3 linked regions of the Rattus norvegicus genome follow. The protein of the gene in region 2 purifies or fractionates together with the protein of the main gene of each other region. This does not show direct contact. Links are inferred from orthologs where the notes say so. Each region holds a gene or a part of one and is shown on either strand. Other genes may lie near its edges. The genes, in order: Tnip2, Rel and Nfkbia.

Region 1 (3,744 bases), about 21 Mb from region 2:
TCAGGAAAAAAATACGTTCTTTTTTTCCCCCCTCTAGAATTTTGTTGTGGCCAGGCCTGGTGGCAAAAGCCTGTAATACCATCTACCTGGAAGACTGAGGCAGGGCGGATCCAAATTCATTGCCTGCCTGAGATTCACAGTGAGTTCAAGACCAGTTTGGGTAAAAAGCAAGAAAATAACCAGAGATGTGTGCAGCTCAATGGTACAGCACTTACTTGCCTGGGCTCTAGCTTCAATCCCTAGTACAACTGGTGTAGGGATGGGAGGAAAACAAGAAAAGGAAAAAGAAATCTAGTTGCAGTGGTAATCTTGGAAACAATATTATCTTTTACCAGCTGCTCCCCTGTCAGGCTTACTGTCCATGGGGGAAAACCAAGATAGCCATGGACCAAATGGAATAACATGCCAGCATTCCTCCAAATGTGGGGCAAGGTAGTCAGATAGAGGCGACTGCTACAGGAAAGTGTTATCACGCATTTCAGTTTTGTGTGCTTGTGGAACCAAGTAATAACAAATGACAAGGAGAACCAAGTAAGAATTTACATATTCTCAGATTGGCATCTGCTGCTTCTTCCAATATAATACCAAATACCAACCAAATCCCAATATAATACTAAATATAACACCAAATACCAACCAAACACCAATATAATACTAAATATAACACCAAATACCAACCAAAAACGTGGGTCTTTTCTCTCAGAGTCCCAGTCTTCAGAACCCTATGCATCTCTCAGGTTCCTGGCACTCCGCACAGGATTCAGAAACTCACATTCCACAGAAGACCTCCCTTCACAGAACACAAGAACCAAGACCTGCACTGCCCCCTCAGAGCCAACACAAACACAATGGAACCTGTACACATTCCTCAAAGAGCAATGCCTGTCAGGATGTCCTTGAGACCCTCTTGACCCCATGCCTCACTCATGTCCTTTAGAGCCTCTAGTGTCTGTCCCTCAGAACCCTACCTACAGAACCCTGAACACCACCCCTCCCAGAACTCCATCTTCGTCAATCCTGGTGCCCCACTGGTGTGGCTTGAATAAGAAAGCGCCAGGTTCAGATACTTGCATTTTTCATCATCCAGAAGTAGCACTATTTGAGAAGGATTGAGACATGTGGCCTTGGAGGAACTATGTCACTGGAGATGGGCTTTGAGGTCTCAAAAGCCCACACCAGGCCCTGTGTCTCTCTCTGACTGTGGATCAGGATGTAGCTCTCAGCTACTTCTTCAGCACCAAGCCTGTCTGCATGCTGCCACACTCCCCACCATGATGATAATGAACTAACTCTCTGAAACTGTAAGCCAGCGCCCAATTAAATGCTTTCTATTATAAGAGTTGCCCTTGGTCATGATGTCTCTTCAAAGTAATAAGCAGTGATTAAAGCCGCTACACACCCCTTTGGGACCCAGAGCACATATTGGAGAAGCTCACTACCAACAGAACCATGTGTTCAAGGCTACCTCAGAACATTATGCCCCACAGATCCCTGCACTCTCGGATCCCTCACATTCCTCAGACCTCTGCCCCCATGGAATTTCATGAGCAAGTTTCCCACAGCAGCACCCCCAAAGTCGAGAGACCCAGGGGGTCTGTCCCAAATTAACCTCCATCACATGTTCCTCAGAACTGCTCATAACCTCAACAGAATGTCAGGACTTGGTACTCCTCAAACGTCACACTTCTGCCACCCTGGTGCTCACCAGAACCCTGTGCCCCAGAGACTCCTGCTCAACTCTGCCTAACTCTCCGGCCTACGAATGAATCTCGAAGTGCTCAGTATCCTGAACTACCCAGACTCTCGCCTTCAGACCCCAATCCCTCAGGATTCCCTGCGCCTCAGATCCCCACGCCCTTCAGACCCTGAAACCTCAGGACCCAGAGCTCCTTAGGACCCACTTGCCTCAGGATCTCGTGTCCCTTATAACTCAGCTCCTTTCAAACCCCAGCGCACCCCTTAAACCACCATGCTCCAGACCTCGAGCTCTTCAGACCCGCACCTCGAGCCTCATACCCTCGGGACCCTCAAGACCTCGCGCACCTCTGGACTCAGTGTCACACTCTCCAACAAGCTCCCTAGGCCACCTTGGGCAACAGCTCTTGCCCTCCCCGCACCTGCCGCAGTTGGGACTCCGAGGCACCATCCTCCTGTCGCCGCAGCTGCTCACGGAAGCGCTCCACCTGATCCAGAAGTGCGTCCACAAGTGATGGTGCCGTGTGCCCTTCCAGAGCCGCGAGGCGGGTGCGGAGGCTCGCGATAAGGGCGTCACGCGCAGCCAGCTGATCCTTCAGGAGCTGTAGTTGCTGGCCTGCCTCGTGGTACAGGCCACAGAGCGCTGAGGCCGCGCTCGGGGCCTCGTCCTGTCTACCAGACCTTGCGTCCCCAGACGACATAGCTGTGGGCCTTCCGTGGGGACTTGGGCGTCTCCAACTTCTCTAGGCTGCGGGAGCGATAACCAGCCTTCCCGGAACTTTTCCCGCCCCGCCCACTCCCTGAGCCTAATCCGCTTCCACCTACAGCTGGCTCCGCCTCGCCCTCTGCCCAGAGTCTGACTCCGCCCCCGCACACAGCTGGCTCCGCCTCGCCCTCCGCTGGGAGTCTGACTCCGCCCCCGCCCACAGCTGTCACCGCCCCTCTCTCTCGATGATCTCACTTTCTCTTGACGTGCCAGCTCCCTTCTAGGTGCTGTCTGCCCCACAGTCTTAGACTTGTCACCACGGCCCTATTCCCTGCGTCTGAGGTATTTTCCTGGAGTCAGATCCCATCTGTGACCAGGGTTTGGGGTTAGGTATCCTCTGGTACAGCAGCTGAAGAAAAGCAAATAAATCCAAGGACTTCAGACATTGGACATGAAGTGTGGTCAGGTTTCATTGGCGGGGCTCCTTCCTCTTCAGGGACTTGACTTGTGTTTCTTCATACAGGGACACTGAGCTCACAGTACATGGTGGACCCCAGAGCCAGCCACCAAACGCCAGCATGCCCCTAAATTCGAGTTAGGATGGCCTTAGCGCTAGAAACTGTTCTTCAAGCAGAAGACAGGAGGGCGCTGGCCCTTCCCTTCCCACAGCTTCCATACAAACCCTATTTTTCCTCTGGGAAGTCTCTCCTCCGTGAAGATCTTTCAAAGGCTCCTTGCTAAGATCTCATGGAAGTCCTCTCCCTAGGTGAGGATGTGTTTCTTCTCTGCTCAGTCTCCTTCTCAGTATCCTGTCTGCTCACAGCCAAGCTCTGGTTGAACCTGCAGGAACACACTCCCTTGCAAGTATCAAACTATATGCAAAGCCAGACCTCACCAAGAATTTATAGGATGGATACTAGGAGTCACGGACCTGGCTCACTTATGTTCAGCTCCTTCTTAGCCTTCAGAGCCAAAACTCCAGTCAGAAGCGATGCATCGCAGCTGCTGCCTTCCCTACCTGGTAGGGGTGTTATCACACTAGAGAATAGGTGTGTATTTTTTTTTCTATTACTGTGACAAAATGCCAGGACCAAGGCAGTTTATAGAAGCATTTAAGTGGGATTAAGGGTCAGATGTTTAAAGCTGAGAGCTCATATCTTGATCCCCAAGCAGGAGGCAGAGAGCATGCTGAAGTCTCAAAATCTCTCTGCCCAAGTGACATGGCTCTTCCAACAAGGCCATACCTTTTTTTTTTTTTTTTTTTTTCCGGAGCTGGGGACCGAACCCAGGGCCTTGCACTTGCTAGGCAAGCGCTCTACCACTGAAAGGCCATACTTTTAAAT
Region 2 (3,644 bases):
TAGCAGAAGAGAGAGGGGACTCTTGGTCTGGCCTGGGGCTGGGCACGGCAAGTGGTTGGTCAGCATGCCACAGGTCCTACCCTAGCACCATTTTAAAATGGCCGTGAGAGACAGTACACAACCAAGGGCGCTCAGCCATGTTCGACAGTTCAACAGTTATAAACAGGTGCCTATCCCCGAAATATAACAGTTCCAACATAGCCTTCAGAGGCCCAGTCTCAACAGTAAGAATGTGAGGGACTGTGGGGAAGAAAGAGATTTAAAAAGAAGTTATTCCTAAAAAACGCACAAACAGTATTTTACAGGGATAGAATACCTTTTTTGATGAATCTTGTTTCTCCAATTGACTCCAGAGGGACAGCTCTTGTTTTCTCAGGGAAGTGACTTGGTATGATACGTTTTTCTATTATTAAATGTATTTTGAAAAAATAGTTTATCACTTTAAAAATTTAAAGACAGAATAAAGCAAGTAGAAGACATTTACTTAAATATAACTCAATCAAAGTGTTCTTACCACAATCTTGCAGCAGTTTCTGAAAAATGAGAGTCGTCTTTTGCTTCTTTGATTTATTGCCATAGGCATCTGATTGGAAAAGAAAGGGGAAAGCAGTGAACCATGGGATTCTGGCTCCCCCACCGTAACATGCGCTCTATCAGCGGCATACGGAAGTCTTAAATACACGTGAGTGATACAGGCTTCTAAGTACGTTATTGTACAATACATCCATATCGGTTACAAAGGACACTTCACTTTTAATTTTAAAAAGCTTAAAAATAGTCATTTTTCAACCTAAAAACACCTAAAAGTTAACATGAACTAACACAATCAACCACAATAGATACAGCTTTATGATTAACAAATTTCCCACCTATAAAAGGGTTCAAAAAGTACAAAAAAAATTCCTAAAATACATACATAGAAAATATGATCTAACAGTTCAAGAACTCTACAATTATTCAAACTCTCCTAAGAAATGCAAAGACTATGAGGAAAAAAACAAACCAAGACAAAAACATACAACTGAAAACTTCCAAGGAAAAAATACAGATTCTGAATATATAAAACTATACTGAAATATTTATTTTACAATATTGCGAACATGATCAGCTTAAGACAACGATCTATTCTTCAGGAGAGACTGGGACTCGGTCAGCTCAGCACTTGCCAGTGCACATAAAAACCTGAGCCCAATTCCTAGCACCACATTTAAAAAGGCAGCAGGGAGTGCACAGGGCACACTGCCGTAATCCCCATGATCAGCTAAGAGTCATCCTCATCCATAGCTCCATAGGGAGTTCAAAGACAGCATGGGCTACATGAGTCTGTTTCCAGTCCACCCACATGTGCGCACACCACACACACACACACACACACACACACACACACACACACACCTCACACACCCCACACACACCCCAAACACACACATACACCACTACACACACACACACCACACACACCCCACACACACCCAAACACACACACACACACACACACACCTCACACACAAACACATACACACACACACACGCACACACCACATACCTCACACACACCACACACACACACCACACCACACACACACACACACCACACACCTCACACACACACACACACATACACACACCACACACACACACACAGACACACACACACACACCTCACACACACACACCACACACACACAGACACACACACACACGCACACACACACACCTCACACACACCACACACCTCACACACACCACACACCTCACACACACACCACACACACACGCACACACCACACACCTCACACACACCACACACACACACAAACACACACACACACCTCACACACACACACATACACACACACACACACACACACACACACACACACACACACACACACACACACGTCACCCCCGGCTCTCGTCTACCTTTTTCATCTGGCAGGTATCTGAAGTCCATAGACTCGCTGACTTCCTGGTCGGAAGGCCTCCGCAGCTGCATTTTCACTGTCACGGGCTCCACTATGGCTCTGCAGTATGGAGGCGTCCTGAAAACAATGGCAACTTGGCGGTGCACATCAGCTTGTGAAAAAATACCTTTGGCTTCCCAGTCATTCAACACGAAACGAACTTCTATATCATCTAGTGAATAAGAGGCCAAAGAATAATGACAATGGGGGAACAGTAAAATACATATACTAATCAAACATATATTACTAATTCAATTAAACAAAACTGATAAATACCTTTCTGAACTTTGTCACAGAGCAGAAATATTTCGTCTCCTCCCCTGACACTGCCACAGTTCTTGTTCACACGACAGATCCTTAATTCTGCAGTATTTGGGGCACCTAAATGCAGAGGATTAAAAACAGTGGGTCTCAGCACTGTCTTGTAATGCTAGTGATGAAACACCATGACCAAAGGCAGCTTGAGGAGGAACGGGCTAATTCACTCATGGTTCCATGTAATAGTTCATCATCAAAAGCAGTGAGGGTGGATTGCAGAGATGGCTCAGTGGTTAAGAGCACTGGCTGTTCTTCCACAGGTCCTGAGTTCAGATCCCAGCAACCACATGGCGGCTCACAACCATCTCTAATGGGATCTGATGCCCTCTTCTGGTGTGTCTACAGAGACAGCTACAGTGTACTCATATAAATATAATAATAAATAAATCCTTAAAAAGGAAACAAACCAAATATATTCTTAAATATCATATTAATGAGTTCTTAAAATTAATACATAGCCATATAAAATCATGCTGCTGAACAAGGTGGCACAGGCCTTTCATACCAGCACATGGGAGGCAGAGGCAGAAGTAGAGGCAGGTGGATTTCTGTGAGTTCAAGGGCAGCCTAATTTACAGTGGGAGTTTAGGACAACCAGGACTGATACACAGAGAAACCCTTTCTTGAAAAAAAGAAAAAGAAAAGCAACAGAAGGAAGGAAGAAAGGAAGGAGGAAGCAAGGAAGGAGGAACGAAGGGAGGGAGGGAGGAAGGAAGGAAGGAAGGAAGGAAGGAAGGAAGGAAGGTAGAAAGGAAGGAGGAAACAAGGAAGGAGGGAGGGAGGGAGGAAGGAAGGGAGGGAGGGAGGAAGGAAGGGAGGAAGGAAGGGAGGAGGAAGGAAGGAAGGGAGGGAGGGAGGAAGGAAGGAAGGGAGGGAGGAAGGAAGGAAGGAAGGAAGGTAGAAAGGAAGGAGGAAACAAGGAAGGAGGGAGGGAGGAAGGGAGGGAGGGAAGAAGGAAGGGAGGAAGGAAGGGAGGAGGAAGGAAGGAAGGAAGGGAGGGAGGGAGGAGGAAGGAAGGAAGGGAGGGAGGGAGGGAGGGAGGAAGGGAGGAAGGGAGGAGGAGGTAAGGAAGGAAGGGAGGGAGGAGGAAGTAAGGAAGGAAGGAAGGAAGGGAGGGAGGGAGGAAGGGAGGAGGAAGGAAGGAAGGAAGGAAGGGAGGGAGGGAGGAAGGGAGGAAGGAAGGAAGGAAGGAAGGAAGGAAGGAAGGGAGGAGGAAGGAAGGGAGGGAGGGAGGAGGAAGGAAGGAAGGGAGGAGGAAGGAAGGGAGGGAGGGAGGAAGGAAGGGAGGGAGGGAGGAAGGAAGGGAGGAAGGGAGGAAGGAAGGGAGGGAGGGAGGAAGGAAGGGAGGAAGGGAGGGAAGAG
Region 3 (3,744 bases), on a different chromosome or scaffold from region 2:
CAGCCTAAACAGAACGCAGGCGCCGGGCTGCAGGAGTTCCCTTCACCAATTCTCTCCTTTCAAAAGTCTAAGCTATTGCAGGGGACATAGCTCAATGGTAGAACATGTGCCTATTACCACGTGTTAAAGCCTGGGTTCAATTCCCACAACTCCCTCTTACTGCCCCATTCCGAAACCCACAAGGGTAAGCTATTAAAGCAAACCAGAGACACGTTCTTGGGATCCTGGCTTTGCAAGCTGAGACTGAGAAGTTGAATAACTCAGGTCCCTATGATACAGAACAGCTCTAGAACAGACCTAGGTGTGGTGAGGGAGAATGGACCACTCTGGCAGTAATGAACACGCACCTCATCTTCCGTGAATTCTGACTCCGTGTCATAGCTCTCCTCATCCTCACTCTCGGGCAGCGTCTGAAGATTTTCCAGGGTCAGCTGGCCCAGCTGCTGCTGTATCCGGGTACTTGGGCGGCCCCACGTAAGCTGGTAGGGGGAGTAGCCCTGGTAGGTTACTCTGTTGACATCAGCCCCACACTTCAACAGGAGCGAGACCAGGTCAGGATTCTGCAGGTCCACTGCAAGGTGGAGGGCTGTCCGGCCATTACAGGGCTCCTGAAACCAAAGGCAATCAGAAGTGTTTATCTGGAAATCTGCTCACAGTAAGAGCCAGCCCAGCAGAGTTTAGGAGGAAGGGGAAGTACTCACCTGAGCGTTGACATCAGCACCCAAAGTCACCAAGTGCTCCACGATGCCCAGGTAGCCATGGATAGAGGCTAAGTGTAGACACGTGTGGCCTGCAGGATATAAGACGGAACTGTAACCACTTGTTTCAATCCTCACACAAGTCACGTCTCCTTTCTTGGGGACAACCACAAACAACCTCAATTTTGAAGAACTCAAAAGTCTGGGTTCTCAGTGAACGTCATGTAGGAATCATGGAGAAGACTTTTTAAAAGTCCACACTGCCTGAACTTCTTATACGTTGAGGCGTTTTAGCTCCAGGCTAGACTCAAGGGGACCCGTCTCTCCCTTCTCTGCGTCCCTGGATGGACTGGCAGACCTACCGTTGTAGTTGGTGGCCTGCAGGACGGAGTGGAGATGCTGGGGCGTACAGGTCTGAGTCAAGACTGCTACACTGGCCAGGCAGCCCTGCTCACAGGCAAGATGGAGAGGGGTATTTCCTCGAAAGTCTCGGAGCTCAGGATCACAGCCAGCTTTCAGAAGTGCCTCAGCAATTCCTGGCTGGTTGGTGATCACAGCCAAGTGGAGTGGAGTCTACGAATGGAAGAGGAAACAGAAAGAGCCTAAGCCATGGAGCAAACCCATAGTCTTGAGTTTCCTGAACCCCAGACACCTCCTATTACAGAATCCCCTCCTCCCATTTGTCTACAGGAGATCAGGCAAACAGGAGGCCCTACGTGGGTCATAAAGACCTCAACCAACCCTTGGGATTTTCCTTCTTGCTCTAAGACTTTGGCTAATTTGAATGTAAAAGGCCAGGGCAGATAAGGACCGTGACTGTTAATTTAGAAACGCTTTGGGGGCGACTGAGCTTCATCTAACTCCACCACGGGGTCAAAGAGGGCACAGCTGGGCAAGCCCGCACCTGCTGCAGGTTGTTCTGGAAGTTGAGGAAGGCCAGGTCTCCCTTCACCTGACCAATCACTTCCATGGTCAGTGTCTTCTCTTCATGGATGATTGCCAAGTGCAGGAACCTGCGGGATGACAGGGAAACCCCCCAGGGGTGGTGAGCGCACTGCGTGGGGCCCCCGAGAGGCGCGGGCTGCGGGGGATTGCGCAAGGCCGGGGTTTCTGGAGGCCGCGGCCGCGGTGTTTTCCGCGAGGTTATTATGAGCTGAGTGTTCCTGGCAGCCGCCCAGGGACTTTCCGTGCCCCACCCCCTCCGGGCGGGCGCCGGCCAGACCGGCCCGCCCTCCGCCGCCCGGAACGCCCTGTACTTCCCCTCGCGGCCGCGCAGCGCCCGGCGGCTGCGCGGAAACTCTGCCAGGCGGGGACTTTGCGTCCTCGTTGCCGCCCCGCCCCCGGCCTGCGCTCGGCTACTCCGGGTCCCGGGAAATGGGGTGGGGGGATGGGGAGGCAGGCGGCCCGGCGCCCGCAGCTCTGTAGCCCCGTAGCCCCGCAGCCCCGCCGTGCAGAGCCCCGAGCGCGGTGCAGGCCCCGCGCGACCCCGCCCGTGCCCATGCCCGAGCCCGCCGCCACTTACGAGTCTCCGTCCTCCGTGAGCTGTTGCTTCCAGGGCTCGGCAGCCAGAGGCGCCTCCTGCGGCTGCAGGCGGATCTCCCGCAGCTCCTTCACCATCTGCTCGTAATCCTCGTCCTTCATGGAGTCCAAGCCGCTGTCGTGGCGGTCGTCCACCAACCGCTCCTTCTTGAGGCCGTCCCGCGGGCCCTCCATGGCCCAGTCCTGGCCGTGCCCAGCTGGCTGAAACATGGCTGTGCGGAGCTGAGCGGGTGCAGGGTGCAGGCTGCTGGCAGTTGGGTGGCGAGTTCAGACTGTTGTGGGCTCGGCAGCGCCGCCTCGGCGCCCTATAAACGCTGGCAGGGGATTTCTCAGGGGCGGGGTCAGGCGCGGGGAATTTCCAAGCCAGTCAGACTAGAAAAAGAACTGGCTCGTCCTCGACTGAGAAGCCTAAACCCAGGGCCGGGGTTCATCAGAGAAACTCCCTACGATGAGCCACTGGGGTCATGTACAGGGAACTTTTTGATGAGCCCTGAGTGGCTGGAAAGTCCTCCCGACCAGGCCCCCTCCCTCTAGGTACTTCCCTGCAGCCTGCACTCAGTAACCCCAGCGTTCTACAAGAGCCCTTCTTTCCCTGGGGTTTCCCACCGACGACTTTGGTTTGGGGTCCCAAGCTGCTGAGATTCCAAGGACGCAAACCTGCTAGGCTGTTCCTCTTAGAGATTTGCCAATTTGCAGGTCCTTTCCGGTTCTTGATCTTTTGAAAACCCAAGAGTGGAAATGGCTGGCTGGGTGCAGGGATTCGCTTCTCCTAAATTTCTGCGACGACGGACGTATGAGTGATTCCGGGTCGTCTGTGTTTCAGGCTCTTTGCAGTGCATGGACATTTGGCTGCCCTTCACCATCCCCCCTCGAAGCTGTAGACACTTTGGCATTCAAACAAACAAAACCAATAACAACAACAACAAAATCCAAGCGCCTGGAGAACCCCTAGATTAATTCCGAGGGGTCAATAATCTCGCCCGGGGGAGGGGCAGCGGGGGAGGGGCAAAGTCTAGCTCCATATGGGAACCACATTTTCCCCCAAGTAATGCAAGGTGTTAATCTTTGTAGAAGTTGTAGCTTCCATGCAACAGAAACTGTTGAGTTCTTGCTGTTGGAGTTAACTTGTTAACTTGTAGAGAATAAAGCCGGAGCTTATTGTGAATGCCTAGCAGAACAACTGGTTTAGTGCCCTAGCCTCTTAAACATAGCTAAGAAAGTAACTTTGAAGCATCCTGCAGGAGGCTCAACATAGTCCTAACACTGACCACATCTGAAACCTGCTGGTTCTACTAGCTTCCTTGCTTCCCAGGGACCGCAGCATTGTGGGTGGCTACTCCTCAAGAAAGGGATTTGGGCCTGTGATCCCCTAGTTTTACCTGCAAAAGTAGAAGTGTTGCTTCCACCCCATCCCGACTTAGGAGCCTGCAAGTGTGAGGTAACTCGGGAAAATTAAAGCAACTTGGATCACAGTTTGTCAGAATAGACCCAGTAGGCTTCCTGTTCT

What was found.
Region 1: the proteins of Rel (region 2) and Tnip2 purify together in Homo sapiens (affinity purification with mass spectrometry; 3 studies listed by BioGRID and IntAct, counting the BioPlex papers as one, with this or other methods). This does not show direct contact. The link is inferred for Rattus norvegicus from reciprocal best matches to the Homo sapiens genes REL and TNIP2.
Region 3: the proteins of Rel (region 2) and Nfkbia purify together in Homo sapiens (affinity purification with mass spectrometry; 6 studies listed by BioGRID and IntAct, counting the BioPlex papers as one, with this or other methods). This does not show direct contact. The link is inferred for Rattus norvegicus from reciprocal best matches to the Homo sapiens genes REL and NFKBIA.

The regions. Positions count from the first base shown.
Region 1 is NC_086032.1:80,451,652-80,455,395, reverse strand, and holds the start of Tnip2 (TNFAIP3-interacting protein 2), read right to left. Parts: upstream 2,461-3,744; 5' UTR 2,397-2,460; coding exon 2,118-2,396; intron 1-2,117. UniProt on the Homo sapiens protein: Inhibits NF-kappa-B activation by blocking the interaction of RIPK1 with its downstream effector NEMO/IKBKG.
Region 2 is NC_086032.1:101,897,868-101,901,511, forward strand, and holds part of Rel (proto-oncogene c-Rel), read right to left. Parts: intron 2,346-3,644; coding exon 2,241-2,345; intron 2,137-2,240; coding exon 1,924-2,136; intron 584-1,923; coding exon 515-583; intron 404-514; coding exon 317-403; intron 1-316. UniProt on the Homo sapiens protein: Proto-oncogene that may play a role in differentiation and lymphopoiesis.
Region 3 is NC_086024.1:78,594,507-78,598,250, forward strand, and holds the start of Nfkbia (NF-kappa-B inhibitor alpha), read right to left. Parts: upstream 2,567-3,744; 5' UTR 2,448-2,566; coding exon 2,221-2,447; intron 1,712-2,220; coding exon 1,603-1,711; intron 1,272-1,602; coding exon 1,061-1,271; intron 791-1,060; coding exon 702-790; intron 609-701; coding exon 348-608; coding exon of another isoform or gene 261-347; exon of another isoform or gene 1-260. UniProt on the Homo sapiens protein: Inhibits the activity of dimeric NF-kappa-B/REL complexes by trapping REL (RELA/p65 and NFKB1/p50) dimers in the cytoplasm by masking their nuclear localization signals.